4 linked regions of the Lonchura striata genome follow. The protein of the gene in region 1 purifies or fractionates together with the protein of each later gene. This does not show direct contact. Links are inferred from orthologs where the notes say so. Each region holds a gene or a part of one and is shown on either strand. Other genes may lie near its edges.

Region 1 (7,402 bases):
CCACTGAATAGGCTTCAACAGATCAGGGTGAGTGCTGCTGCCTAAAACACAACTGCAGTTATTAATTTGCCAGAAGGGTATTTTAAGCTTGCCTGTTTATGAAGAGTCATTATGGACACAGGAATGTGCAGTGACAGGGTACACTGATGCAGGGACAATTCGGGCACTTGCCTCAGTGTACCTGCACTGCATGAAGAAAAAGCAGCAGCACTCACACAGCACAAGGAAACTCAAGCAAGGAATGTGATCCAGCACCTCACACTGGTGCTATGCTTGCTGTCAGCATTAAGATCTGCCCCTTATTCCTAGAGCATATGGTGGGTGCTTGTCCAGTTGCAGCTACTTCCACTGACAGCACTTGATCCTTTGTGACCAAAGGCAGGGAAATATTCCCTACAGAAAAAGCATCCCGTCTCTCAGAGAAAGATGATATGTGCTTTGCCCTTTTGCAGCCACAGGACTCTCATGTAAGTACTGCTGCTCTTTTACAGACAGCAGGATAGTGATGTTTGCTCCATGGGAAAAAGGAACGATGAAAACACTCCCCAGAGGCTGATGGGCCCAACAACAGCACACCCAAGTTCAGGAATGGGCACAGCTCAGTCTGTGTTAGTGGAAGCCAGACAAGCATAGGTGCTGCCTGTGCACAATCCTGAAGGCATAAAAGAAGGGAAGAGGCTCTGTTTAGTAAGAACATGAACTAAACCAAAAAGTTAAGCCAGACTGGTAGATAAAGGTCTCAAAGAGAAAGAAAGGTGTATGAATTCATTACCTTTTCAAAGAGCAGGAGCAGTCAGAGCTGAGACACTGAACTCTTCCTGCTCCCACCATCAGCACCAGGAGATGCCAGCATGCACTGAACAGAACACTGCCCTGATGCACCATGAGCAGGGTGAGCCCACATAACACCTGGTTATCAGCAGAGATCTCTTATGGATTGAAGGATCCTGCCCACACCAGCAGGGATGCTCCTCTTCAGCACAATGGCACTGACAGCCTGTCCCCACATCCCAGCAAGCAGGTCCATGCTTTGGCAACAGCTACTGAAGCATTGCAAGAAGTTCGCCAAAACTGGGAGAAACTGTGTCAAGAGAGACAGACTGGGCAGTGGATTACATTTTCACCAAGCCCAGCAGAATTTAAAGGGTATTGTGACAGTTGTGAACTCTTTGGAGCAGGGAGTGTTTCTTGTCACCTGCCTGGACAGGATCTAGAGGAACACAACACTGCTCAGGGCTACCTGCACTTGGTACTGCAAAACTTGAAGGCTCCCCTATTCCTCTCCCCTGGCAGCCTAACAGGAGTTTCAGAGACTTTCAGCTAACATGTGCACTCTTCTTCTTCCCCTTATTATGTGAGTCTTTTCAAGTTTATTTGCTGTTATGCAGGCAGTGATTTCTGCTGAGAATAGCCACAGGTTCCTCCTGTGAACTTCCTGCCCACTTGTTCCTTCTCCTCTCAGATGCCTTCTTGTGCACTGGAGTTGACAGAGAAGGCAAAAAGAGAATGAAGAGGAAAGAAGAATGAAAAAAATAAGCCATATTCTGTCAGTAACTCCTTGACTTCAACCAGCAGGAGAAGCTGCTTCAGAAGAAAGTCAAGTCATCTTGAGCAACAACTCCAACCATTTCTCAACCACAATATATCCTTTCAGTTCAGAAACTGCTTGTGAAACGAGTCTTCCCCATCCCTGCACTGAGTTCTCCTTTCAGTTTTCCAAGTACTGTGCTGCACTACAAATAAAATACGAATTTTTCTTGTAAGAATTAGAATTCAGGACATGTGCTAGCACTCCAGAAACCACAAAAACTACTCCAATTAATGAGAAGTTTCTCTAAGGGTAGTAGAGCTAATGAAGCTGCCTTCCTGTAGGTTTAGCCCATCACTTCAAGGGCCTCTACAGCCCTCCACAACAATCCCACACCCACCCTCTCTTCCTTTTGCCCAAGCAAAAGGCAGCACACATGGCAGATGCTTTGGAGGTAGCATGTTCCCGCTGAGTCTCAGGACATTTTGAAGTTATATTATTCCTGTCCTGCCTTTCTCTTGAAAGGAGCATAAGAGGGGCATAATTCTGTCCTCTACCCAGAGGTTAAGATATTTTTGCACAGCATTCATGTCTCAGCCTCCTTCAGAGTGTTACCTCACCACATTTGACTGAAACACCACAGCAGGTTCAACAAAGGAGATGAGATCGAGAGCCGAAGCTCCAGGGGAGTGGGAACACTAACCAGCTGACTCCTGAGCCTGCTGCTGATACTCTTACAGGCAGAAGGGAGCCCGCTGAACTCTGAGCAGGGAAGTATGATAGTTCCGAGCACAAAAGACTCACAAACACTTCAGAAGAGATATCCGTGATCCCATTTCACGTACAAATAAGGAGAGCGAAAAGTTCGTGTAAAGGAGGAACCTGGCACTGATCTCAGAGCAGCCTACAAGCCTCTTCCACTCGATCCACTCCCAGTGCTCCCGGGAAGGGGGGACACTCGTGTCACGGAGCTCGGTGCGGTTCAGCTCCCAGCAGCAACACCTCCAGCTGAATGGAGCCCCGAGAGCGCCGCAGCAGCGAGCTCTGGGGCCGGGCTGCTCTCGCTCTGCCCAGCGCCAGCAGCCCCTCCCTCAAGCGAGGGTCCCCAGGCCGGGGCTCCCTCCCCTCTCCTCTCCTCACCGCGGGCTCAGCGAGGCAGTGCCGAGCGGGACCCCTGGCCCTGGGCGGGTCGGAGGGCGCTGCCAGGCGCCCCGAGGCGAAGCGGTCCCGGCCGGGCCCCGAGCGCGGCCGCTGACAACCGGCGGGGCGGCGGCGCAACGGCCGAGGGGCTCCCGCGGCCCGGCCGAGACCAGGCCCCGCCCGGCCCGGCCCGGCGGCCTCCCGCGCCCCGCCGCTCCTCACCTCCCGGCCGGTCCAGCTTGAGGATGTCCCGCAGGTGCTGCGTGGCGTCCTCGATGTCGATGCTGGAGCAGGAGGCCATGGGGCCCGGCGCGCCGCCCGCCCGCGCCGCCGCCACCGCGCTGCCCGGCCCGGCCCCGCCGCCCGCGCTTCCGCCTCCGGCCCGGCCCTGCGAGCGCCGGGCGGAAACCGCCGCCCGAACGGAGCGTTCCCGGCGCGGCGGGGCGGGGCCGCGGCGGCCCGGGGCTCCCCCGCCGCCGCCCCGCACACGGCGGCTGCCGCCGGACGGGGAGGCTGCACACAGCGCAGCGCGGAACCGAGCGGAGCTCCAGGCACAGACTGCCCGTGTGCGTTCGCCTGCGGAGGGAACAAAGGTGTCCCGTGGCTTGGAGCGGGCACGGAGACCGACTGCAGGCTACCGCCACTGTACTAGTGGGGAATTTGCATCCGTAAAATACAACAGGTGAGAACGAAGCTGTCGGTGTTAAAAACTGAGCCAGAAGGCTCGGTTACAAAAGCTGCTGAGGAGATGGTGTATGGAGGAGGGCAGACGTGCCCTGCACTCGCTGCTGAAACTGTGAGGCATTGTTCAGCTGGAGCTCCAGCTCTGCAAGCATTCCCCCACCAGACAGACACAATCTACCCCCAGCAAGCACTTATCACACACACTCCACAGCCAACTCATAAAAACAATTTAAACTTTTAAGAAAATCTCTGTTTTATTGTGTAATGTAGCATTGAAACATCTGAACAAATCAATAACTGGGCTGTACAGGCTGCTGTTCTTTCATTTCTTTGGGTTATAGAGCATCTTGTCAGTACATAAACAACAACCTTTTGCATTATAAATTCTTTCCGAGGCATGCTGGTACAACACAAATTTCTCTTATCAAATGCAGCTAAGTCTAACTTCCAAACATCATGCACAAGAAACTCATCTAGTGACAATGTAAACTCAGCAGAAGGGCAGGTCACAAGTCTTGCTTGCTCACGCTCTGCAGTGCTGCAGGTTTGTGTATGATATTTGGAATGTTCCGTGAGTGTGAATAATACCAGTTAAGAGGAGAGGAGGAAAACGGGAAAAAAAAAAAAAAAAAAAAAGAAAGAAAAAATAAAAGAAAAAAGAAAAAAAAAAAAGCCCGGGTGCCTCGGGATGGGCTGCTCAGCCAAAGTTGTGCAGTGCTAGCCTGAACATGTCATTGGTGCAAACCCAGGCATCGTTGATGTTCTTTAATAGAAATATCTGGTGGAATCCCATGATAGGATCTTCATCAGCCTGTAGAAAGAGAGAGGGGGAAAAAAGGTTCAAAACACTAATTTTTTTGATAAGCTTATTCCAAAACTCATGATGAGACAACTTCAAGCTAACATTAATAGTGACATTACATGCTGTAAAATGTGTAGCACCCCAGGAGACACCAACACCACCAGAGGACCTGTTCTGAAGGGCTTTGCAGACAAACACCCAGGGCCCAGAGACATGGAAATGCTGCAACGGCATCTGAAGTTGGGGTTTGGTGGAAGACTTACTGACATGTCACTCACCACACTGATGGAACATGCCTGCCTCAGTGTTGAATCACAAAGCCCTTGCCCAGGAATTAATCTTAAAAGAAAGTGGTGTGATTTTTAACTGCTGAACTTTGGGTTGATGGCAGAAGGGAGTTTCTGTAGAGGTTGGTATCAACATGTTGCCTGGATGATCCAGGTGATCTGGGCTTTGAAAGCCTTGCCAGAGCAGGTGCAGCTGGCCAGAAACACAGCACTTCCCACTTGCAGCAACAGCTGGAAGGGAGCAGAGCATTCACTACAGCTGTGACAACGTGTCCTAAGCACAGGGAATGGCTGCAGCTGTGCCTCCACTCCTGCCTGACAACACATCTGGGTATTTACAACATTACTACAAAACTAGAAAGTAGTATTAGAGGGAGACTAGTAAGTACTTCCACCCAATTTTATTTATCCATAGTTTCAGAGACATCGTGCAGGAATTAAATCCTCAAAATAACATAAATGATTCCCAAATCAATCAGCTGGAAACCACACAACAGGATTTAATCTGAACAGCACACAGGGCCAACTACAATCTTCTGATGGTGGCTGTAGTGTGTTCAATTCAGCATTTCTGGAGGATTTTAAGCTTTATTTTTTCAACACATCACTATTCAGCTTCAGAAAAGGGAGGAAATTTATTTTAAAAAAGGCTTGAAAAGCAGCAGCCAGAGCAGCTCATGAAAGAGGCACTCAAAGCACTGAATGTTCATTGGCAATGCTCTGCTGCTGTTCACTGAGAACAAGTGAAAAGTGAAGAGCAAAGCAGACTACAGAAAGATCAGAAAAGAAACTTTACTTTAAAAAAAGTATTCATGGACAGTGAAACAAGTCAGTTTTGAGGACCAACTTGCAAAGGACATCACTTCTATCACAGGACAGCAGGTGTGCCAGAACATTGGTGGCATCAGGTGCATGGAAAGGAAGCATTCAGATCCATAACCACTGCAAGGATTTCACAGTGACAACCAGCTGGGAAGTTAAGTGGTGTACATGAAGTGCAGTTTCAGTAAGTGTGTGTTAATTCACAGAGTAAACCAAAGTGGGCCCTAGACTGGCCCCTCATGAAAGTGACACTGAAATAATAATTGATATGTATTTATTAAACCAGCTGAGAGCTGTAAAGCTATCAAGGCAAGCACAGGGTTAGCAGTTGTTAGGGAAGAACAAAGAACCAAATCCCAGAAGTAAGCAAATGCATAAATAGGCAAAGAGCACCCACATATCAAAACCTGCATGCGTTTCTTATAAGTTAAAAAATAAAATGCTACAGTAAAGTCATAAAAGGACAAGAAAAATGATCCAGCTAGAGGATGGTTTCCTACTGAAGAAAGTAAATTGAGTAAAACTTTTCAGCTTGCAAAAACATAATGAGAATGGGGAGAATAGACAAGATAAATTACTACAAAATCATGAAGAAGAAAGTGAATGAGGAAACTATTACAGCCAGAAATTAGGAAGGCAACAAGTAAGGCCAGGATTATGTGCAAGCCAGTGTTCAATACATGACTGAGACTGAGAGAATTCTCTGAGAATGAGCGAAAAAATCCTCAAAGCAAGACAGGTGCCAGCAGTCACTGTCCAGCCAACAAACAGGGCAGCTTGTCCCTCAGTACACACCTGCTTTGCATGGGGCAGAAGCTCCCTAGGAACGAGCCCAGTGTGAGCACCAGCAATTCTGCTGGGCTAGACCAGCCATCCATGGCGTGCATCAGCACATCTGCCAGCAGCCATGGCAAGTGTTTCAAAGGAAATATTATCTCTACTGCACGTGCCCAGAACAGAGGCTCACATATCCGTGCTGTAGAGGTGGCCTGTGCACCGAAGCCCATGGGTTTGTGCCTTTTCCAGCTTTTCCTGGGTATCCAGTGTAACCCATCCCAGGAGAGCCTCATCACTGCTTGGGAGTTAGCAGGTTCTCAACTCCCAGTTGTCCTCCTTGTTGCAGATCACCGAGGCATCTATTACAAGTTGCATAAGTACTTTTCACACCAAATTTGAGCTTGTCATTACTGACGTAAATATGCTTTAATAGATACCTCTGGAAAAAAAAAATACCATCACCAGACAAGCTTTACTGTAGGTCTCCTTGATTTCTGATAAGCCTAGGTAGCCTCTGATAAGAGCACTGCAGCTCTTGATGCTTTGGCTTAAGGAGAATTTCCTCCTTTCTTAAGAAATTCAGCGCTGGACACATGAATAAAGACTAAAAGGGAATTCTCCCCAAAACATCTGGTGTGGTACAGACAACAAATTCCAACAATGAAGTCACACATTATTATTTTCTTTATTCCTTTCATGTTATCCCTTCATAGCATAGATGAGCAGTGTACTTTAAAAACAAGGAAAATCCTAGACTACATTCAAGGTGACGTATATACTTTATAGTCCATTCCCCAATTTTGACTATGTAATATTAGCACATAGCAAAGGCTCACAGTTTAGTGACTCAAGATACCACAGAAAACACAGACTAATCCTATTCTGTATTATTTTAGATCTTCATCACAGCTCAGATAACACCACTGAAACTCCCTCTCCTTACTTTTCACTCCAAATTCAGGCATGTCCAACTCAGGATTTGCATTCCACCCCTGTGAGCCCAGGCTCAAAACACAAGGGGCTTTAGTCTTCCTATAAAACTTTCCTTTGTGCAGTTCAAGTTCTTCCATGACATCACTGAATTAAAACAAAAATTAAACAAGTCCCAGAATTAGACTGGAAGAATCTTCTGATTTCCAGGCCAGCCTTTTGCTCAGCATGAGCACAGACTGCAGCAGCTCTGCATCACAGAACCACAGAACACGCTGGTTTGGAACAGAGATGGTAAAAGTCCACAGAAGGACCTTTAGAGATCATCTAATCCAATCATCCTGTCCTGGGCAGGGACATCTTTCAAAGGCCACAGCCTTGTCTAGCAGAGTCTTCAAATTCTCACAGAACAGATGTTTCACAAGATGCTCA
Region 2 (7,783 bases), on another chromosome or scaffold:
AGAGTCCCAGGAATAATGTTTTCTCTCTAGTTCTGATTTATGTCAATAATAAACTTCTCTCGTTCCTCTGTCAGTGACAGATTCCAACTAAGGGTGAACATGATATAATTTGGAGCTGAACCTCTGTGCCCTAGTTAAAAAAAATCATTTTACCTGTCTAATTTCACTACCTACCTTCATCAGAGAAGAGCTGTCATATTTTGATGCAAATTCCAGCAATTTACATGTTTCAAGCTGGCAGGCAATGTCTTCCTAGAAAAACTTGCCACCCTTCCACAATCTCCTGTGAAATGGCAAACCAGGTTAGAAAGATAGAGGAGATTGGATTACCTGTCTGCACCAGATCATTGTTTCTAGGAGATAATCCATAAATGATTAAGCCTTCTAATGTTATTGAGCAATGTAAGGAGGGCTGCCTGTGACCTATTTCACCCTCTTACACTGTTGTTGTGGGAGTAGCTTTACTGTATAAATTCAATTGAGTGTTTTCATTCTTCTGTTTTTATTGAATTGTAACTGTAATTTAATGACTTTTCTCTGTTTCTTTCAATATAATTTCAGAATCTCTTGGAAGGACCGTAACTATTGGTTACACTCATATCCAAAATGTCAGTGGACACACAGATGGCTAACTGCTTTTTTTTTTGTCATTTTCCTAGTACTTTATCAAGCTACATTATTTCAGAAAGTGCTGTTGTTTTTAATGTTTCGTGCTTCACATTTTCTAGAAGATTTTTCCAATTGTACAAGGAGAAAAAAAAAAAAGAAAGTCATGCATTCCTTTACAGAATCATTACTGCAATTATTTCATGGCAAAGAAACTTCTAGTTAAATTCACATTTCAGTATTGCAACAGCTGGGAAACTCAGAAACTATGCAAAATAGTTCTGTGTTAGATCTGTTTTATACAGAGCATGGAAACAGGAAAAAATCCCCTACCTAAAGCTGGGTAAATCACTAGTCCCATAACAATCTTCCTAAAGCTTGTCACTTCCATGTGATGATCCTGCCAAACCTGCAGTCCCTTTACACACCATTCCATCCCACCAAATTTAATTGTTTGGATTAACACTGCTGCCCTTCTACTGTTAATATGTAGCAATTTGGAAAACTTTCCTCTGAAAGAGGAAGAAGATTTTGCACAACTGAAAGCAAGGATTTGTCACCATGAATATGCAGTAAGGTACCTGTGGCTGCAGCATTAGTGCAGAGAGAGCACAGTGCAAGCTGGAGCTCCTAGAAAAGGCTGCTGATCCACATGGTCCTCCAAAGGGCAGAATAACTGCCAGGGAAGGTAACTATAGAACCTGAGCAGTTTATACCATATTTATACAAATGAGGAAAATGCTCAAGTAATGCCACCTGTGAAATAAAAAGGTTTTTCAAATAAAATGTCAGCACTTCAAAAATTCTAGCATCCCCTTCCCCTTGGGTTTTTTTTTAAGCAATAAAATGCAAAATAAAAGTTCATTAAGTTATTAAGGAAGTTATGACCAGGACCTTTTGTCCTATCTAGAACTAAGCCCAAATAAACAGTTTGTAGAATTACAGCCATTATCCTGAAATTTAGGGTTTAGATAACAATGCAATTATCAATCAATAGCCCAGAAATTGCCTCCCATTACAAAACAAGGAAAACATCTGCAAACAAACCAACAGAAGTGTGTCATTTGCAAAACAGTTCATGAAACCAGGAATTTCTGGCAATTGTTTTGAATAGAAAACTGTAAAGAAAAAATACAAGCTCTGTGAGTCACTCAGATTTGCAAGACTCCCTGGACCCTAATTCAGCCAGGAGTAATAACAGGAAATGCACTGACTGGGAGCACTGGCTGCACTTCTCCCTCATCTGAACAGCAGCAATAATCTTTTGCTGAGGATATTCAGCCAACAAGGGAAAAAGAAAAGGACTGAAGAACTTTTCTGTAGGAAGTTTAAAGGAGTAACTGCAGCCCAAATAAGCTTTGGGAACACATGAGTAATCTACTGTGCAAAAAGAGGGGCCAGAAAAAGAGTTTGTATAACAGAACTGCCAACAGCAGAGCAACAGAGACTCAGCCATGGTGTCAAAAGCAAACAAAAAAGAGGGTCTTTATTACTTCATCTGCCTTAATATTAACACAGATTAAGTAGGGTAATAAATTAATATATCCTCTTCTAAAAAACCTCAGCAGTATAAGTGAACTATAAAACACAATGCTCCCTTCACTTGTTGAAACACAAATGGAATCTGTCCCACTCACAGAGAAAACATGAAAAGAACACTGTGACAGCACATTTCTCCCTCTCTCAGGATTTTTCATAGACGTGCACAGAGAGAAATGAAAGAGAAAACAATTTCTATTTCTGCTCCTTGTTTTTCCCATGTGGAATGTGTTTGGAGAATTGTTCACCTGGAATGAATGCTTGGTTGGATTCTGGTGAGGATTGTTTGAGCCTGATGGCCAATCCAACCCACCTGGGGCTGGACTTGAGAGAGAGGGTCACGAACTGAGTTAGAGAAAGTAGTATGTAGTTTTAGTATCTTCATTTATATAGTATATTAATGTATTTTAGCATAGTTATAGTAAAGAAATCATTCAGCCTTCTGAATTGAGTCAGACATCATCATTTCTTCCCATTGGGTTTGCCTGCATTTACAACCGTGTGGGCACCGTGTGCATCATCCCGCTTGTGCCTGGCTCCGTGCAAGGATCAGGAGCAGGGAGTGAGAGAGGAACATTTCCCCAGCACAGCTCTGGGGAGGCTTGAGGAGATTTGCACCACACAGCACTCCCAGCACACGCCTGAGTAGCTACAACTCCCCAGTGTACCCCCAGACTCTGCCTGTACACACACTTTGCTGTGCTGCAAGGTTGAGGAGGCAGAGGACAGGCCATGCATCACTTCCAATCCAAAATATTTTATTCCAACGCAGCAACGGTGAAGACAGGGAGAATAAATTCACTGAAATGCAGCACTGGAATGAGCAGATGAAGGAGGAAAACAATCCAGAAGCAGAAACCACTGCTTCCCTTCCTTGCTGCTCCTTGTGATTCACTTTTAATGCAAGATGAAGCCAAGGAGTTTTTCACAACTGAGATCTCAAACAGCACAAAATTTCCTTTGCCAATAAGTTTTTAAATTTGAAAGATAGCTTTTCTTTACAGTAATCTTGCAGAAGGGGGCAGATTGATGCAGACGTTTAAGATACCATTTGGAACCAGTTTTTTAAAAAAGTTTTTGTCATTTTCCTTCTATTTGAGTTCTTAGAATGTGGTTGCTGTATAAAATAGATTTCAAAGTTTAATTTCTTCTTAGCATCTTTCTCTAATATAAACTGTTAGTGAATAATGAGAAATTTTACATCAAAGTATTGCCTTTAAGAGCAAACACTACAGAACTAGGGAAAACCCAAATTTTATGGATTAGGCTCTTCTATGGTGAAACCATTAGAAAGACATGGACAATTTATGGAGCTCCAAGACATTCCATATGACTTTTGTTGAGTTTTTTACTGATGTTTATGCCCTGGGGTTCAAGGGTGAGTTAGTGGGATGAAGTTTTCTGTCTAGATTACTTTTTCCCTAATAAATGCATTTTCACTTTACACTGTAACTGTTTGACACCAAAATAGGCACATTATTGTTTTGTCCCAAAAGCTTTACAGTTTAAAAAAATTACACTAGAACTTGGTATTTCCACTTCTTATCAGATAGACTTTTGTGGAACCACACAACTGCTGGATCCTTGTTTATGGTTAATGCAATGCAATAAATGTCAGCCATCATAGGAGAGGACTATCCTGTAAAGCTCTATTAAAAGTTTGTATCAGAAGTTTGTCCACCTGCAACAAAAAAACTTGACTTGTGGTAATACAGAGCATAGCACATATTCTTGAAATACTCAGGGTCAGGAGCCTGCCACAGACAAGATTTTGTTTAGAAATATACAAACCTGTTTATTCCATGTCAGATTGCAAAAAATGCTACAAAGGTACTTGAACCTAAGTGATCTTATCTTGGACATAATTTATGCCTTGGTCCTGATGAATATACTACACTTTCCTGTTCCTAAAATCACCAGTAATTGAAAAAGCTGCAGGAAAAAAATCTCAGTACACTGCATATTACTTTGTTCTTGTTTCAGCAAATGTAGATATGTACTACACAGCACTCCACTTTACATAGGGCAGTTTAGCGCCCTATGCACCTTCACTTTACCTGAGAAACGTATGTGTGGATGTTTACTACACCTGACAGAAATACTTAATCCCCAAATTCTTCTAAAATATTGAGAATTCCATATCCCACTGCAGACCGTGAAATACTGATATACCAGAAAATGACGGACACGGGAGCAAAGAGCATCCACCCTCCTGAGCCTGTGAGCCAGCTCATCGCGCTTCACAGGGCAGCCTGCAGTAAGCTCCGGAGCCTGCGGATCACTAATGGGGTAAATAAATAAAAACAAGATGCGAGGGCCAGCCCGCAGCCCTGCCCAAGGCCCACGGCCCTGCGAGCGCTCAGTGCCCGGCGCTGCGAGCGGGGAGCGGCGCCCGGGAACGGGCCGCGGGCCCGAGGTGAGAACAGGGCCCGGGCAGGGGCCGCGGTCCCGCGGTGAGGAGAGGAGCCCGGGAAGGGGCCGGGAAGGGGCCGCGGGCCCGAGGTGAGAACAGGCCCCGGGAAGGGCCCGGCGGGGCGGGGCGTGGGCCCAGGCCGGCGGGCGGAACCTCAGGCGCGGGCCGCGCGCTCCGGCCGGCGGCGGGGCCGGGCACGCCGCTGCACCGGCGCGGCTGTCGCCGTTCCGCGGGCGGGGCTGCCCGGATCCAAGATGGAGGCGGCGGGCAGAGCGGGGCAGGAGATGAGCCTGGCGGCCCTGCGGCGGCACGACCCCTTCATCACCGGCATCGCCGACGTGACCGGCCAGGTCGCGCTCTACAGCTTCAGCCCCAAGGACAACGAGTGGGTGAGTCCGGCGGGGCGGGCCCGGCCGTGCCCGCGCCCCGGCAGCCGCCGGGCCCGGCGCGCCCGCGCGGGGCCGAACCCAGGGGAGTTCGGGGTTTGGGCGCGTTCCCCCCTCCTGTAATGGGGGAGAGGAGCGAGAGGGAGACGGAGAGAGCAGGCGAGAGGGAGAGGAAGAGGAGGAGAAGGAGGAAGAGGGAGAGGCGAGGCCGTGCGTGCGCTCGGGGAGGCGGCGCCGCTCCCCCTCGGGCCGGGGCAGCGCCGGGGCTGGAGCGCGCCTTGGCTGCTGCTGGCCATTGACTTTTCTCGTTTTTAAAGGTACTTTGTTGTTGTTGCTCGCGCCTGTTGCACAGAGCCCTAATTCGGGAAGAGAGGAATTTAAGATTGCATTAAAGCACAGTTTTGGCTTGACCGCCGGGTTCATCGCAGAGCCATAAAAATGGGAATATGGGGAACTGCCCGTGCAGCCCTGGAGCTGGAGCAGCTTTCCTCGACACGCCCGTGCTGAGGGTTGCTCTGGGAGCTGGAGTCTGCCACAGAGCCATGCCCACGGTGCTACCGTGCTGTGCTGTTGTGGCTGTCCTTGGAGTAGAACTGGAACACAACCTCTCGGATATTTGGAGTCTGCTCAGCAGGGGAAGGTTGTGGAACAATGTGTGTGTATCACGTCGGCAAATAGAGAGAGTGAGCAAAGTGTTTTGGAAGTAGGTTTAACGTCCTAATTCTTCTAATTAAAAAATTTGGAAAGTTATGAAAATAAGGGAGCATAATTTTTGTCCTGTGATGTCAAACCTTATGGAAAGATATGGATATTGTAAGTCTGTAATTAAAACACTGTACAAAACCTACCTGTGTGAACAAGCACATCCCTGAAGTGCTTTTGTTATCTTTTGTAGGAAAAAACTGACATAGAAGGGACCTTATTTGTGTATAAAAGGTAAGGTTACTTTGGGTTGGTTTTTTGGGGGAGGGGGTATAGAGTAGTGGCGATATTTGTTTTCTTTCCTTAAGAAAACAAGCTCCAGATGGCTTCCTACAGAGCTTTCATACTCATCATTTTTTGCTTGTCCAGCTGTTAACTGCTGTGTAGTCATTCAAGAAGAATAAATTCTGCACATGGGTGAATAACTCTGTTAAAAGCCCCTAAAAGTATTGCTAAGAAAGTGTAAAACTTGAATGCTACATATGTACCCACATCAAAAACTAGTTTATTGAGCTTATTTTATTAATCCAATAGCATTTGTTAGTGCATTGAGTTTGTTTAATGCCAAGTCTCCCTCTGTCTCCTAACATCCATGAAGCTGATTATGAAAACGATAGACATGAGAAATTAAATAATGTGTTTTAAATTACTAATGGAATATATAATAAATTTTTGTAAATGGATGGAGTTGCCCAAAAGCTGGAGATCTTGTAATGTCTGGTTTTGGGAGTTGTCTGATTTCCTCTCAAAATCATGGAAGAAATTTCCAGCTCTCTAGGACAGGTAAAAGGACTGAGGAGAACCAACACATAATATCAATCATAAGTTCAAGTCTTAAATTATAGGCAAATTAAAAAATCTAAATTAAATAACACTTTGTTGAAGGTAAGAAATAGAAATAATGCAGACTTAAGCCATCCTGAGGCAGACTGTCATAGTTTGGTTGTTACAATATTTTATCTCAGTACTGTGTAGGGATTTGAGTCACAGTTCCTTTACTTCAGCTCCCAGCTTGGAAATACGCAGTGTAAGAAAGTATTAACCAAACTTAAAAAAAAATAAAATCAAAAACCAAAGCAAAAGCTTTGTGTCACTAGCTGATGATTTCAAACAAGTTCTGCGAGGTGCATTAAGGGACTCACTTGTGATGGTAATGGTTGTTTACCCTGTCCTTGGAAACTCTTGAGAGATTTTTGGTGTCAATCATTAGGTAAAGGTGGCCACGCTGTTACAGAAATCTTTACATTTACCAGCTTATTGTGTCTGATTTTTAGCCTACCTTCGTTGTTGTTGATTATACAACATTTTACAGGCACAGTTCAGTGCTGACAGGACATTCATGCAGCAAGAAAAAACAGATCTAAAACTATCTTGAACTTTCAATGCTTGCTCAGTGTTTTCTTTTTTTACTTGGTGTTCAGAAAAAATCTAGATAAATAAAAATTGTTTCACTGAGCAATACAATTCTGAATAATTTACTTTCAGGATACTGGCTTAAGTCTTTATTTGCAGAGTCTCCCTTTAGGAATAAATTACTGTTTATGGTTCCCCCTGTAAGTGTACTTCATGCTATTTAAAAGATAGCAGTTCTTTTTTTTATTGTCATGTCTATTTACAATAAGGTAATGATGCTGTGTAAATGGTTTGGTTTTTGTCCTCTAATTAAAAAATTCTGAAATGCCTCAAAACAATCTTATATCAAGTATTGAATAAATTTGCATTTTAATAGTGGACCTGCCCTAGTTTTTTTTAATAGATTTTTCCGAGGCATATCTTTGATTCAGCAGTGTAACAGTGTAGAATTGTAATGTTAATCCTAATCCTGCTTTGAGGTAAATGCAGTTTAGTTTGAAATTGAAATTAGGTGGTGTGCCAAGAAATGGCATAGAAAAACAACTGTGAGAGCTGCAGGACTGCTAAAACTTCATGTAAGAAAGCAATGGAAATGTGAAGATAAATTCATAACTTGGTATCAGAAAATTATTTTCGTTAATGAAGATATTAATCCTTGGTTTTGTTTTCCTTGACACAATAGGTCAGCTTCTCCTTACCATGGTTTTACAATAGTGAATCGACTGAATATGCACAACCTGGTTGAGCCAGTAAATAAAGATTTGGAGTTTCAGCTCCATGAACC
Region 3 (7,045 bases), on another chromosome or scaffold:
CCACACAGCCAAATTCCTTGAATGTGAACTCATGGAGTGAATTCCTGAGTGTTCCTACTGATTGAAAAAACAAAAATCCACCAGCGGAGCCACTCACAAATTGAGATTTTAAATCAATCCTAACATGGAGCCTCCTGGAAAATCTCAAAGGACCGGGAAAGGGACAAAAAGGAACTGTAGGACACTGCTGGCTTTCAGACTAACCCTGCATTTGCTGCCTTTTTTAATATCAGGGTTTTTTTCTTTATCAAGCAATAGATTTCTGTATGCAGGCTAAGGAGCAAGGCTTTCAGGAGTGCAGGAGGTGCCTTTGCCACGCTCAGCTTTAGCCAGCGGGAAGGTGAAGCCTCATGGCAAACGCAGCAGCAATTCCTGCCTGTTTGTGCCCGCTTGGAATGCAGCTGGGATGGAAACCACACCACGTTTCTAACCCAATAAATACTCACATGAACATCTCTTGAGTCGCTTTCTGAATTTTATTCCACTGGAAAATAAATTTTTTTTTTTGCGGGGGGGAACACCCTATGCTGCTCTGTCATCCTTAAAAATCTGAGTTGGTGTATTGTAAACGCAGGCGAGCCCAATGGGGAGAAATGAGGATGTCTGACTCAATTCAGAAGGCTGAATTATTTTATTATAACTATGCTAAAATACATTAATATACTCTATTAAAGGAGGATACTAAAACTACAAACTACTTTCTCTGACTCTCACTCAACTTGTGACCCACTCTGAGAGTCCAGCTCCAGGTGGGTTGGATTGAGTTGGATTGGGTTGGGTTGTGTTGGATTGGATTGGGTTGGATTGGGTTGAGTTGGATTGGATTGGCCATCAGGCTCAAACAATCCTCACCAGAATCCAACCAAGCATCACCCCAGGTAAACAATTCTCCAACCACATTCCACATGGGAAAAACAAGGAGCAGAAACAGAAATTGTTTTCTCTTTCATTTCTCTCTGTGCTCCTCTATGAAAATCCAGAGAGGGAGAGAAACGTGCTGCCACAGGGGTGTGGGCTGTGACTCCAGGGGCACTGGGCAGTATTTTCATCCCAAAGGGAGCTGATTCTGGAAGGTGATGCCCTGGATCAGTTCAGGGCTTCACTAAAAATTGGGAATAGCTTTCTGTCCCTGAAAACCTGGAATCAGTAGGTCAGAGCCAGCCACGGGGGATGTTTTGTTCCCATTGCCGGGCATCATGAAATCCCAAGTTTTCCACGATTTCCCGTAAAAAAACAAACAAAAAAAAGCAAAAAAGGTGAATTTCCCTCGGGAAAGTTGGGGTCTGTTGATCCCCCAGGGATCAGCCCCAGCGCAGCTTGGAGCTGCTGGTGGTTTGGGTGTGGAACAGAGCAGCCTTGGCAGGGAGGGAGGGGATGGAAGGGATGAAAAGGGGACAGAGGTGGTGGAGGTATGAGGAGATGGGATGGATGGAGATGATGGAGGGGATGGAGAAGATTGAGGGATGGTGTGATGGAAATATGGAGGGGATGGAGATGATGGAAGGGCTGGAAATGATAAAAGGGATGGTGTGAAGGAGGGATGGAGATGATGGAGGGATGGTGTGATGGACATATGGAGGGGATGCAGATGATGGAAAGTATGGGGATGATGATGATAGAGGGGATGGTGTGATGGAGATGATGGAGGGATGGAGATGATGGAGATGATAGAGGGGATGGTGTGATGGAGATGATGGAAGGGCAGGAAATGGAGGGATGGTGTGATGGAGATTATGGAGGCATAGAGATGATGGAAGAGATGCTGTGATGGAGACGATGGAAGGGATGGAGATGATGAAGATGATGAAGATGATGGGGGGATGGTGATATGGAGATGATGGAACAGCTGGAAATGATGGAAGGAGGGATGGAGATGATGGAAAGGATAGAGATGATGAAGGGATGGTGTGATGGGGATGATGGAGGGATGGTGTGATGGAGGGATGGAGATGATGGAAGGTATGGAGATGATGTAGATGATGGGGTGATGGTGTGATGGAGATGCTAGAAGGGCTGGAAATGGAGGGATGGAGATGATGGAAGAGATGCTGTGATAGAGGGGTGGAGATGATGGAAGAGATGGTGTGATGGAGGGATGGAGGGATGGAGATAATGAAGAAGATGGAAGGGCCAGAAATGGAGGAATGGTGTAATGGAGGGATGGAGGTGATGGAAGGGATGGCGACTATGGAAGGGATGGAGATGACGAAGATCATGGGCGGATGGTGATATGGAGATGATGGAACGGTGGGAGATGATGGGGGGATGAAGATGATGAAGATGATAAAGGGATGGAGATGATGAAGATGATGGAAGGATGGAGATGATGGAGGGATGGAGATGATGAAGATGATGAAGGGATGGAGATGATGAAGACGATGGAGGGATGAAGATGATGGAGACGATGGAGGGATGGATATGATGGAGACGATGGAGGGATGGAGATGATGCAGATGATGGGGGGGTGGAGATGATGAAGATGATGGAGGGATGGAGATGATAAAGATGATGGGGGGATGGAGATGATGAAGATGATGGGGGGATGGTGTGATGGAGATGATGGAGGGATGGAGATGATGGAAGGGATGGAGATTAAGATGATGGGGGGATGGAGATGATGAAGATGGAGGGATGAAGATGATGAAGATGGAGGGATGGACATGATGAAGATGATGAAGGGATGGAGATGATGAAGATGGAGGGATGGAGATGATGAAGATGATGAAGGGATGGAGATGATGATGATGAAGGGATGGAGATGATGGAGATGATGAAGGGATGGAGATGATGAAGATGATGGGGGGATGAAGATGATGAAGATGGAGGGATGAAGATGATGAAGATGGAGGGATGGAGATGATGAAGATGATGGGGGGATGGAGATGATGAAGATGATGGGGGGATGGTGTGATGGAGATGATGGAGGGATGGAGATGATGGAAGGGATGGAGATGATGAAGATGATGGGGGGATGGAGATGATGAAGATGATGGGGGGATGGAGATGATGAAGATGGAGGGATGAAGATGATGAAGATGGAGGGATGGAGATGATGAAGATGATGGGGGGATGGAGATGATGAAGATGATGGGGGGATGGTGTGATGGAGATGATGGAGGGATGGAGATGATGGAAGGGATGGAGATGATGAAGATGATGGGGGGATGGAGATGATGAAGATGATGGGGGGATGGAGATGATGAAGATGGAGGGATGAAGATGATGAAGATGGAGGGATGGAGATGATGAAGATGATGGGGGATGATGCGATGGAGATGTTGGAAAGGCTGGAAATGCTGGAAGGGATGGTGGGAAGGAGGGGATTGAGGGACACAGGTGACAGGTGTGTCACACGGGAGTGACACAGGTATGACACAGGTGTGTGACAGGTGTGTGACACGTGCGTGACCCACGAGTGTGACAAAGGTGCCTGACACAGCTGTGACACTGGGAGGTGACCCAGGGGTGACACCGGTGTCTGATAGGTGTGACAGCAGGGTGTGACACAGGGGTGTGACACACTGGTGACAGAGGAGTGTGACACGGAGGTGACACACCTGAGACACAGGTGTCACATGGGTGTCACACGAGTGTCACACACAGGTGTCACACACAGATGTCACTCGGGTGTCACACTCAGGTGTCACACACAGGTGTCACTCAGGTGTCACACACGTATCACACAGGTGTCACTCAGGTATCACACAGGTGTCACACAGGTGTCACACAGGCGTCACACACAGGTGTCACACACAGGTGTCACACAGGTGTCACACACAGGTTTCACTCAGGTGTCACACACAGGTGTCACACACAGGTGTCACACAGGTGTCACTCAGGTGTCACACACAGGTGTCACACACAGGTTTCACTCAGGTGTCACACAGGTGTCACACGTTGTCACACAGGTGTCACGCAGGTGTCACACACGTGTCGCAGCCCCTGCGCGGTCTCTCACTGCGCATGCGCACACCTCGCAGTCTCTATGGTGTTTCCGGTGCCGGAGCGCCGCGCGCGGGGCGTGGCCGGAAGTGACGTCAGGCGCAGCCGCTGAGGGGAGCGGTCGGGGCAGCGGCAGCGGCGGCGGCTGCGGGGCCGTGCGGGTGAGTTTGGGCCCGGCTCCGGGATTGCGGCTTCCCGCGTGCTCCCCGCGGTACCCGCCCGCCGCGGGGCCTGCCCGGCGTCGCGGCTCTCCTCCGCACGCCCTGCCCGCCCTTCGCCCGCGGTGGGCCCGGGGCAGGCCCGGCCGGGAGCTGTGCTCGGCTCTGGTCCCGCAGGGGTTAATCACGGCTGAAGCGCCGCGCTCCGCTGTGGGGTGCTGTGGGTGTTTTTGGGGGGACCTGGTCAGCTCGGGGGGGCTCTGTGTGTGCCCATGGAGGTGCCCTGTGTTTGTCTCTGGGGACGTCTGTTTGCTTTTGGGGGGTCTTCTGTTTTGGGGTGTGCTGTGGGTACATGGCGGGCCCTGTGTTCATTCCGTGGGGGTTCTCTGTGTTTATTTTTGGGGGTCCTGGTGTTTATCTATGGGGGTTCCTTGTGTTTATCCGTTGGGCGTTCCCTTTCTTTATTTTGGGGGTTCCCTATGTTTATCCATTGGGGGTTCCCTATGTTTATCCATTGGGGGTTCCCTGTGTTTATCCATTGGGGGTCCCTGTGTTTATTTTTGGGGTTCCCTGTGTTTATCCATTGGAGGTTCCCTGTGTTTATCCATTGGGGGTCCCTGTGTTTATCCATTGGAGGTCCCTGTGTTTATCCATTGGGGGTTCCCTGTGTTTATCCATTGGAGGTTCCCTGTGTTTATCCATTGGGGGTTCCCTGTATTTATCCATTGGGGGTTCCCTGGGTTTATCCATTGGGGGTCCCTGTGTTTATTTTGGGGGTTCCCTGTGTTTATTTGTGGGGTTCCCTGTGTTTATCCATGGGAGGGTTCCCTGTGTTTATCCAGTGGGGGTTCCCTGTGTTTATCCATGGGAGGGTTCCCTGTGTTTATCCATTGGGTGTCCCTGTGTTTATCCATTGGGGGTTCCCTGTGTTTATCCATTGGAGGTCCCTTTGTTTATTTTTGGGGGTTTCTTTGTTTATCCTTGGGGGGTTTCCCTGTATTTATTTTTGGGGGTTCTCTGTTTATCCATCACAGGCTTCCCTGTGTTTATTTTTGGGGGGGGTCCATGTGTTTATCCTTGGTGGGGGGGGTGTCTGTTTCTTTTTGGCAGTTCCCTTTGTTTATTTTTGGGGCATTCCCTATGTTTATCCATGGGAGGGGTCTCTGTTTATTTTTGTGGGTTCCCTGTGATTATCCATGGAAAGTGTCTGTGGTTATTTTTGGGGTTCCCTTTGTTTATCCATGGGGGGATTCCTTTGTTTCTCCCTGGGGAGGTTCCCTGTGTTTATTTTTGTGTGTGTGTGTGGGGGGGGTCCCCTGTGTTTGTTTTTGTGGTTCCCTGTGTTTATCCATGGGGGTGGGGTCTGTGTTTATCCATTGGGGGGATGTCTGTGTTTATTTTTTGGGGGTTTAATGTGTTTATCCATGGCAAGGGGTCTGTGTTTATTTTTGGGGGTTCCCTGTAACTATCCATGGATAGTGTCTGTGTTTATTTTTGGGAGAGTTCCCCGTGGTTATTTTTGGGGTTCCCTGTGTTTATCCATGGGGGGATTCCTTTCGTGGTTATTTTTGGGGTTCCCTGTGTTTATCCATGGGGGGATTCCTTTCTTTATCCCTGGGGGGGTTCCCTGTGTTTATTTTTGGGGGTTCCCTGTGTTTATTTTTGGGGGTTCCCTGTGTTTATTTTTGGGGGTTCCCTGTGTTTATCCACGCAGGGGATTCCCTGTGTTTATGCATGCTGGGGGTCCCTGTATTTATTTTTGGGGTTCTCTATGTTTATTTTTGGGGTTTCTCTGTGTTTATCCATGGCGTATCCCCATTTTCATTTTGGGGGTTCCCCTTTTTACCTTATGGGGCTGCTATTTTTGCCTATGGGGCTGGCTGAATTTACCTGTGGTAGCTCCACATGTTTTTAAATATTTACAATATTTATGTTATTTACAATATTTGGGATCCCTGTGTTTACCCATGGGGCTCCCTATATTTTCCTACAGCGACACAGCCACCCCTCTATTCCAACTCCAGGGTAGTTAAACTTATATTTGCACTCAAACATAGATTTACTTTTGGGTTTTCTGTGCTAAAAGGAGGCTCCTGTTTTTCAGAAGTGTCTGTGTAAGGTGCTGCTGTGTGCCGAGCTCCTTCCTGTGTTTCCTAAGGGAGATGAGAAGAAAGCAGGAAATGGAAGGAAGCTTTGGTTTCCCTGTGGTCCCCAAGGCTGTGTTATCTGTGTTTTGGGAGTGTTTTTATCAGCCACCTCCTTGGAATGCAGACATTGTCACCGTGGGTTAACATAAACACACAGCCACAGGAAGGACAGGAGCTGCTCCTCAGGAATTGATGGCTTTGTCACCAAATTTCACATTTTCTTCCCTTTGAAGCATCCCCTCTTTTCAGCCTCTGAAAGTTGGGGGAAGTGAGATTTTTTTTTTCCCCCCTAATCCAAGTTGTTTTTTTTTTTTCCCTTGTTTTTTTTTCAATGAGGCTCAGCTTGCAGAGAATCCAGCTGCCTCTTCCAGAAATGTGATTTATACATGGAAGTTGCTCTCCCTGGGCTGTCTGCCGTGTTTCTTTGTGCTGTTCACAGTAAATATCAAACATTCTCCCTCTTTGATTACAGCATGAAAGGCAAATCTCCACATTTAGGAGCTTGTCATGTCTCCTGTTCTCCGTGATGCTCGTGAGCCTGTCACTGGGAAATCTGGGATCAAAGGAGCTCTTTAGCTGCTTCCAGCACTGTTGGAAACATCTGTCTAAACAAATTGGAGTTTTTCTCCCCTGGTTTTGACAGAACTTCAGTGCAAGGAGAAAAACTATTTTAAAATTCATTTATCTAATCGTGGCACTGATGCTGCCTTTGCTGCTTTTATCCTGCATTCCAGTTTTTGGGGATTTTTTTCACCCTTTTGTGTTTCTCTGTTGGTTGGGGTTCCCCTCCTGCCCTGT
Region 4 (7,338 bases), on another chromosome or scaffold:
ATTTTAGATTGTTTCTATTTTGTGACTCTCCTCTCTCCACTATCACCCTCCAAACAAAACTAATTGCTACATTCAGAATTCTGCTGCTGTGGAGAATTTCTTGTTCTCTCTCACACAAATTCACAAAAATTCCAACGTTTCTGTAAAATAAACAGCAGAAATTGTGGCCAGATTGGGATTTAGAGTTTTGGTGTTCCAGTTGAAAGATGTTTTTGGTGTGGGACATGTGGCCTTTTTAGTTCTGATAAGTGAGGTAGAAATATTGTTAGGTTATTTCTTCTGGTTTCTTTTTAGTAAGTCTAAATTGTCCTATATAACAATTTAAAAAAATGTTTTTAAGCAAACTTGCAGATTATAAAAGAAAAGTTAGCATTTTTGCAATGAGACTACAGAGCATAAATATGTATTTAAGAACAAAATTTTATTCCCTGCGTTAGTGTGTTAAAAAAGGGGGAAAGAGGTTATTTGGACAATGTTATCTTTTACTCTGTGTAATTTCCCCTTATCTGAGTAAGACTGTGAGCTGAGCAAACATATCTTGCCAGCTAGGAAACCGCCACTGACAAAGAGGGAGGAAAAAACTTAAAACCAATGCAAATAATGCTTAAAACACTTAGGGCATCCCTTTTCTTTTTCTCAATGTAAAGGGAGAAACTTTTGAAGTTCCGGAAATTGTTCCTTTCCGCCTCACTCACAACATGGTTAATGGGATGGGTCCCATGGGAACAGAAGGGCTCTTCCGAAGAGCCTGTGAAGTCACCCTGAGGCTGATGCGTGATCAGAGGGAGCCTCTGATGAGGTACGGCAACTACTTCTGCTACAAACTCCCCAAAGCTGTCTGTAGTCTAAACGTGTGAAACAGAAACTGCTGGAGCATATGCCTATCCTGCAGCTCACTCTCACCATGACATAGAGCTAAATATAAAGCTATATAAATATTCAGCACTAGCTACAGGCTCCTGACAGTGTTTATGTTTTGAAAATTAAATGTATTTATGTATCATATCCTTTTCTAAATTTTTTATTTATTTAGTGTCTTAAAGACTTTTCTCCATGATCCTCTTGTGGAATGGAGTAAACCTGTTAAAGGGAATACAAAAGCCCAGGTGAATGAAACTGGAGAAGTTGTCAATGAAAAGGTGAGTTTAAAACAAACACAGCCTAAGGTATTCAAATGTGGAATGTCCATTATTGTTACGAATTACATACTTCCTAATGAAAACTTCATTTTTTTTTTTCTTCCATTTAAAAATTTCTCTGTTTGTTCTTTGTTATCTTTCTGTTCATAATTTTTATCCATGACGAGATTTTTTTTAACTGATAAAAAATGTAATTTATCTGTTAAAGAACCAAACAAAAAAGCCTGTCATTCTCTTGTTGGTGTTACTAAATCAAGGAAAATATCAGCAGAAGTGATGCATCTTGTTACCCCTCACTTGCAGAGTCCTCCAGATTTACAGTGATGGTAACTTCTGGAGTCCTTTCCATGTGTATATTCATGCTTTTCCTGAATGGATGTTTATTATTGAATAAATATATGCCCTGGTACATATAGAGAATGATGTGATTAAAATTAAGATTTCATACTGTTTCTTTATTAGCTGCTGCTGAAGACTGTATTATTCACCCAAAGTATAGCTTAATTTTTAATATCTTCCCTCTATGCAAAATTTCTGATTTGTTCCTTTCTATTTTTGGGGGTTTTTTTTAAGGACAGTTTAATGAAAATAAATGTGTAATAGCAGACAATACTTAGGGAGCACTAACAAACACAGTTAAGATAAGGAAAAACTACATCACTGAAACTGTATGACAACAAAGAATTTACCTGTTCTATTTCAGCACAGAAAATCTCTTGGTCTTCAAACAGTTTCTAACCAGCTATGTCTACATTCTTTTACAAAAATTTTCTTTTACAAGACCGCCCACATAATTGTATATGTTAACTGCTTTTTCTGGAGAAGTGCCAACGATGTGCTTGAGATTTAAAAGAAAATGTGTGAATGTAATTGGTATGAACTAGCAACTCCAGTGGGCCTTGGAACAGCTCATTTTGAGATGCTCAAATTTTGATCTAAATTTTCCAGACTTAAATTTTATCCAGAAGTCCAGGAACAAGGCTAGGAAAATGCTGCATTTATTTGAAATTAATTGTATGCAATAAGCTTTCTAACAATTCTCAGATATATTTATATAGCTCTTTCAGTCTCCTTTGGTAACTTTTAACTGTAAAAATGTAAGGCAAAAGTTATAGCTTGGCCAATAATATATCCATGCTAGAGAATTGTTCTTATAAGTGAGTAGCCTTTGTTTTCAATGTAGCTGGTATAGGCATCTGGATTTTGTGTTAAATTATAATATGATTTCAAACACATCCTAAGGAATACTGGTTTTATTTTGAGAAGTGGAAGTTCATGAATAGTACCAATTTTTTTCTTCTTTGCAGGCCAAAACTCATGTCCTTGATATAGAACAACGGCTGCAAGGTGTCATTAAGACTAGAAACAGAATCAAAGGATTACCTTTATCTATTGAAGGGCATGTTCATTACCTCATTCAAGAAGCAAGTGATGACAACCTGCTCTGCCAGATGTATATGGGCTGGGCTCCATATATGTGATATTTGTTCCCTTTGGAATAATAGCATCCACAAGTACTGTAGCTGTAATATTGTTGAGAGGGAATCAGTGAGTGGTACGTGGTTACTTCTGTTGATTTTTGGCTGCAAGCAGAAGAAAAGGTTTATGGTCTTCCAATATCTGTGTAAAATGTACAGTGCCCTTGCAAGAATGATATGAATGCAGATGTGTAAGGTGTTAGGACTCACCTTTTGTACATAAAAGTCAGTACGTAAGAACTGCTTAAAATTTAGACTATGCAAGGCTCTGCAAGTCTCTGACTAAATGAAAGATTTTCATGATGTTGACAGATGCACTCTATAAAGTACTGTATATTTTTGTACATGTTTCTCATTTGGCTTAGATTAGAAAATAAAACAATGAAGTTTAATACTGATAGGATGTAAAGTGGTTATTTCAATTTCTGTATTCATATGCAGAAGGACTTTCTAAAAATTATTAGTATTTCTTTCCAGCAGTAAACTTTTCTTCAACTTTCTTTCCTGTTGTGTGGCTATTTCTAGGAAAGCTTTTGGGATTTTAAATCTTAGCGTGAGTAAACTGGTAAAGTGGTTCCATATTCTGAACCTATTTCCTTAGCCCTTCAGTGCAGTGCTCTAAAAAAACCTCCCGAAGGACATGGGACAAAGGGAGCTGCAGGACGCTGGCAGTGTGGCTGTAAGGCCAGGGCAGTGGGCAGGTGGTTGTGGCTGTGAATGTACCATCCGCGTAGGCTCCCGAGAGCTTTGTGCATCCCCTCTTCCGCCCTGGAAAAAACACGGCTCTAGGGAGTATTTTTCAGACTCCATTTCAGAAAAGGTGTTTTTGCACAGAGAAGAGTAGACTAAAATATGGTTGAAAGGCAAATGTTAATTTACAGTAATGCTTGCTTTCTAGGCATCCAAAATGTAGGGAAATGAGGGGTGGGGGGGGAGATAGGGAAAAATTACACCTTTTTAACCTACAGTAGGCTATTATTAGAATTTTTGTGGTTTTGTTTCTGCTATTCTGAGAGACAAGCAGCGCTGTTAGATTTCGATTACAGGTTCACACCCGTGTGACACTCAAATGTTTGCTCTGTTCGGCTGAAATCCAGAGGTTTGGGAAAGTAAAATAATGGGTCTGCAACTGCTTCTAGGGCGTTTGTTTCTCCGTCGATCAAGTGCGCAATCTAGAAGTGTTGTCACTGTCCCATAAACGTGCCGAGTTTTCCTAGTAAAATATTTGGAACATACTGTGTTTCCGGTGTTGTGTTTGAGCGCTGACGTTCTGTTTTTTTCCCAGGCTTTATCGGTTTATCGGAGCGCAGAGAGCCGCCCGAGGAGCTGTTGCACCGGGCGGTGCCATCGCGCGGGGAGCAGATCTGCGGCGCGGGCTGGGGCGGGACAGGGGCAAAGGGGGCTCTGCGTGTTCGCGGCTCTCCCCAGCCCTGCGTACCGGGGCGGGACAGGGGCAAAGGGGGCTCCGCGTGTTCGCGGCTCTCCCCAGCCCTGCGTACCGGGGCGGGACAGGGGCAGAGGGAGCTCCGCGTGTTCGCGGCTCTCCCCAGCCCTGCGTACCGGGGCGGGACAGGGGCAAAGGGGGCTCCGCGTGTTCGCGGCTCTCCCCAGCCCTGCGTACCGGGGCGGCGGTGAGGCAGCCGAGGGGCGGGACCCGGCCCGGGCCCGCCCGCTCCGGCGCCGCTCCGTGCCGCTCGCTCTCGGTGCGGGCGCTCGGCCGCTGTCAGCGCGGCGCGCCGGAAGGAGGGCGGAGCGCGGCCCGCCGTGTTTGGTTCCGGCGGGGCTGTGAGGGCGGCGGGGAGCTGTGGCCATGGGGGTCCCCAAGTTCTACCGGTGGATCTCGGAGCGGTACCCCTGCCTCAGCCAGGTGCTGAAGGAGCATCAGGTGAGCTGCGGGCGGAGCGGCGCTGCCTGACACGGGCCCGCCCCGGGGGTCCTGACCGGCCCCTCGGCGGGACGGGGGAGCGGGAGAGCGCTCGGGCCCCGTCTCCGGGCGGCCCTGCGGCACCGAGTCCCGGCCCGGCCCGGCTCGCCCACGGCCGGGGCGGTGCGGCTCAGCGGGACCCGCCGAAAGCGGTGGGACGGCGGTGGGCGATCCCTGGGGAGCGGTGAGGCGTTCGGTGCCCCCTGACAGCCCGGCTGCCGGGCCGAGCCCGCCGCTGGCAGGCAGCAGTGGCCGCGGCTGGGGCCGGCGATGGTGGCAGCAGTCCCAGACCGAGCGCGCCGTTCCCCCGGGAGCGGCGGGTCCCGGCCCGCGCCGCCCGCCCGCCCCGCCGGGCTCTCCCTCGCTCTGGTCCGCTCGGCAGCCCCCGCCGGCCGCGCGGGAGCCCGCGGTCGGAGTTTGCTCCTTCTTGGGCTCAGAAAAGTTACAGCTGCTGACGGCCAGTGGCGCGGTAATGACGAGGGACAGGTTTTACAGCTGTGCTGCGTTTCCTTGTTGTCGCCTGCGTCGGACAGTTTGTGTTAGTAGCTGAACCGGGAAGTATGTTCAAGCCTGGAAAACTCAAGCCGTAAATCATATTTCCAATAGTTGGACAAAGACGTCATCTTTTCAGAGATGACATGTTTGGTACCTGTTGGATACAAGTGCTTCTAATTATCATTTTCAGCTGGTGTCACAGATGTGGTTTTATAGATTGAGTAAGGATCTTCTGAGATAGGTGATAATTGAGAGTGTGTTTGAATATTAATACATTTTCCCTGAACACCTGTGATTTTTAAAGATTAAATAGCTGTTGTGTCCGTGTAACTAAGGTGCCCAGCTCAAGTGATTCCCAGCCTGGATGTTTGGCCTTATCTGATAGTTTTAAAGCAGTGTTCAAAGCTTAGGGCTTTGCTTATGATTTGTTGGCCTTCTCTGAAGTGTCTAATGTTATCTGTGTAGCAAGGTGGCAGCAGTTTATGCTGCCTTTTCTGCTGTTTCCTTAGAAGCCTGGGCTGCTGACACATCTTTAAACTTGTGCTGAAGAACTTTGGCAAGCTGGGGAGGCAGCAGTGTCTACTCTAACCAGGGGTATGGCAGCAGAGGGTGCCACCCTTGATGCCTTCTAAAAGAGGCAGCTAGAGCTCTTAAGACAAACAGTAAACACAACCCTTCCAGATCACTTGAAGATACAGACTGACACATGCTGGCATCTGGAGTATACGCTAAGAGTAAAAAAAAAAAACCAAACTAATAAATCAAAAAGCTGTTTTACTATCTATATAAAACAGCATTATTGTTAAATCATATTATAGCTGTTCTTCTCAAATAAAACATAGGACCTTTTATGTATGTTGCTTCCATGTAAAAGCTTTTGGTTTTGTGTCTTTAAGACGCTGCCTATGCACTGCCCTGCTCACTTATCTGAAAGCACTGAGAGCAGTTTGGTTGCTGAGTTGAACCATACTAAAGATCATGATGTGCAACAGAAGGCTAGTTACAGCAGTTGATTGGGGATCATTCCTGATCCTGCCTCTAATTTCTTCTCTTCACCATTTTCTCTTTCTAAGACAGTTACAGTTCTCATCTGGAGGATGAATGCAAGCCCAACAAGGTGCCTTTAAAGATGTGTGAGCAGTAGTTTTGTAGAAAACTGTAACAAGTTGGCAGTGCCTTTTCCTAGGTGTGATGATAGGGGGATTTTTGTGAGCAGTCTTACTGAGGGATTAGGGAAGAGATTTCTTTAATGTCAGTTGCTCTTGTGGTGCATTTTGGTGACACTGAGGTAGTACTGGTCCCTTTGCATCATACATTTACCAGTGTTTGTTCTCTGTATGTTGCTTGTGTACATTTGGGAAGGCTTTCTTTTTCCTTGAAAAGAAAGTATGACTGCTATAGATAAGGCTGTTAGAATAGCAGAGAACTTAAACGAAAGATAAATTCTGTTTGGAAAGTCTGGGTAATAAATTGATATTATTATTGCCAGCTCTCTGCTTTTGGTGGTAATTTCCACTCTCTAGACTCAAAGATGCTCACAAGCATAACTAAAGAGACAGCATACAGTGGTTGGGGTAGGAGCTGCTGAACAGGGGGAGAACTCTAAAGGTTCTTAAGCCATCTTTGCTTGGAAATATTGTTGGAAATTGCATGCTCAGTTTTGTATTTTTTTTTTTTGTTTGTAGTGCAGCTATGAAAAGTTGAATCAATTAAATGTGCAGGCTTACAAAAAAAAAAGAAAAAAAAATCTTCCTGAAAACAGTGGTTTTGGTTTGCTTTTCCATTTTACAATGTAGAAGATAGTCGGAGCACAGGGACAAAAGTCTCGAAGTTCCAGAAACAGCCAGGATAAAGTAGTAACCTGTTCAGCTGACTTGGCTCCCTGACAAAAATCAAAGTAACAGACTGCATGTGCAGGCAAACCCATACCCTGTCCAGATATTCTTACTGTGCCTGTTGGTGTGCAGGAGGTTCCACAGAGGTCTTCCCACCTCAGCTCATTTCCAGAGTGCTCTCAGGTGTGCCTTGGGCAGCGGCTGCATTCACCAAGTGGTGCTAACTGTGGCATTTGCAGATTCCAGAATTTGACAACTTGTACCTGGACATGAATGGCATTATACATCAGTGTTCACATCCCAATGATGATGATGTCCACTTCAGAATCTCAGAAGATAAGATTTTTGCCAATATTTTTCACTATTTGGAAGTACTGTTTCGCATTATTAAACCAAGAAAGGTTTTCTTCATGGCGGTTGATGGAGTAGCTCCAAGAGCGAAAATGAATCAGCAGCGTGGGAGACGT

Evidence for each region.
Region 2: the proteins of EDC4 (region 1) and DCP1A purify together in Homo sapiens (co-immunoprecipitation; 9 studies listed by BioGRID and IntAct, with this or other methods). This does not show direct contact. The link is inferred for Lonchura striata from reciprocal best matches to the Homo sapiens genes EDC4 and DCP1A.
Region 3: the proteins of EDC4 (region 1) and EDC3 purify together in Homo sapiens (affinity purification with mass spectrometry; 6 studies listed by BioGRID and IntAct, with this or other methods). This does not show direct contact. The link is inferred for Lonchura striata from reciprocal best matches to the Homo sapiens genes EDC4 and EDC3.
Region 4: the proteins of EDC4 (region 1) and XRN1 purify together in Homo sapiens (co-immunoprecipitation; 4 studies listed by BioGRID and IntAct, with this or other methods). This does not show direct contact. The link is inferred for Lonchura striata from reciprocal best matches to the Homo sapiens genes EDC4 and XRN1.

The regions. Positions count from the first base shown.
Region 1 is NC_134615.1:16,944,150-16,951,551, forward strand, and holds the start of EDC4 (enhancer of mRNA-decapping protein 4), read right to left. Parts: upstream 3,019-7,402; 5' UTR 2,970-3,018; coding exon 2,891-2,969; intron 1-2,890. Other genes in the region: NUTF2 (nuclear transport factor 2), read right to left, coding at 4,050-4,163. UniProt on the Homo sapiens protein: In the process of mRNA degradation, seems to play a role in mRNA decapping. Component of a complex containing DCP2 and DCP1A which functions in decapping of ARE-containing mRNAs. Promotes complex formation between DCP1A and DCP2.
Region 2 is NC_134614.1:10,596,365-10,604,147, reverse strand, and holds the start of DCP1A (mRNA-decapping enzyme 1A), read left to right. Parts: upstream 1-4,775; 5' UTR 4,776-4,812; coding exon 4,813-4,947; intron 4,948-5,839; coding exon 5,840-5,880; intron 5,881-7,681; coding exon 7,682-7,783. UniProt on the Homo sapiens protein: Necessary for the degradation of mRNAs, both in normal mRNA turnover and in nonsense-mediated mRNA decay. Removes the 7-methyl guanine cap structure from mRNA molecules, yielding a 5'-phosphorylated mRNA fragment and 7m-GDP.
Region 3 is NC_134613.1:5,971,884-5,978,928, forward strand, and holds the start of EDC3 (enhancer of mRNA-decapping protein 3), read left to right. Parts: upstream 1-4,030; 5' UTR 4,031-4,103; intron 4,104-7,045. UniProt on the Homo sapiens protein: Binds single-stranded RNA. Involved in the process of mRNA degradation and in the positive regulation of mRNA decapping. May play a role in spermiogenesis and oogenesis.
Region 4 is NC_134612.1:12,799,837-12,807,174, reverse strand, and holds the start of XRN1 (5'-3' exoribonuclease 1), read left to right. Parts: upstream 1-4,320; 5' UTR 4,321-4,427; coding exon 4,428-4,502; intron 4,503-7,110; coding exon 7,111-7,338. Other genes in the region: serine/threonine-protein kinase ATR, read left to right, coding at 648-799, 1,034-1,139, 2,447-2,620. UniProt on the Homo sapiens protein: Major 5'-3' exoribonuclease involved in mRNA decay. Required for the 5'-3'-processing of the G4 tetraplex-containing DNA and RNA substrates. The kinetic of hydrolysis is faster for G4 RNA tetraplex than for G4 DNA tetraplex and monomeric RNA tetraplex.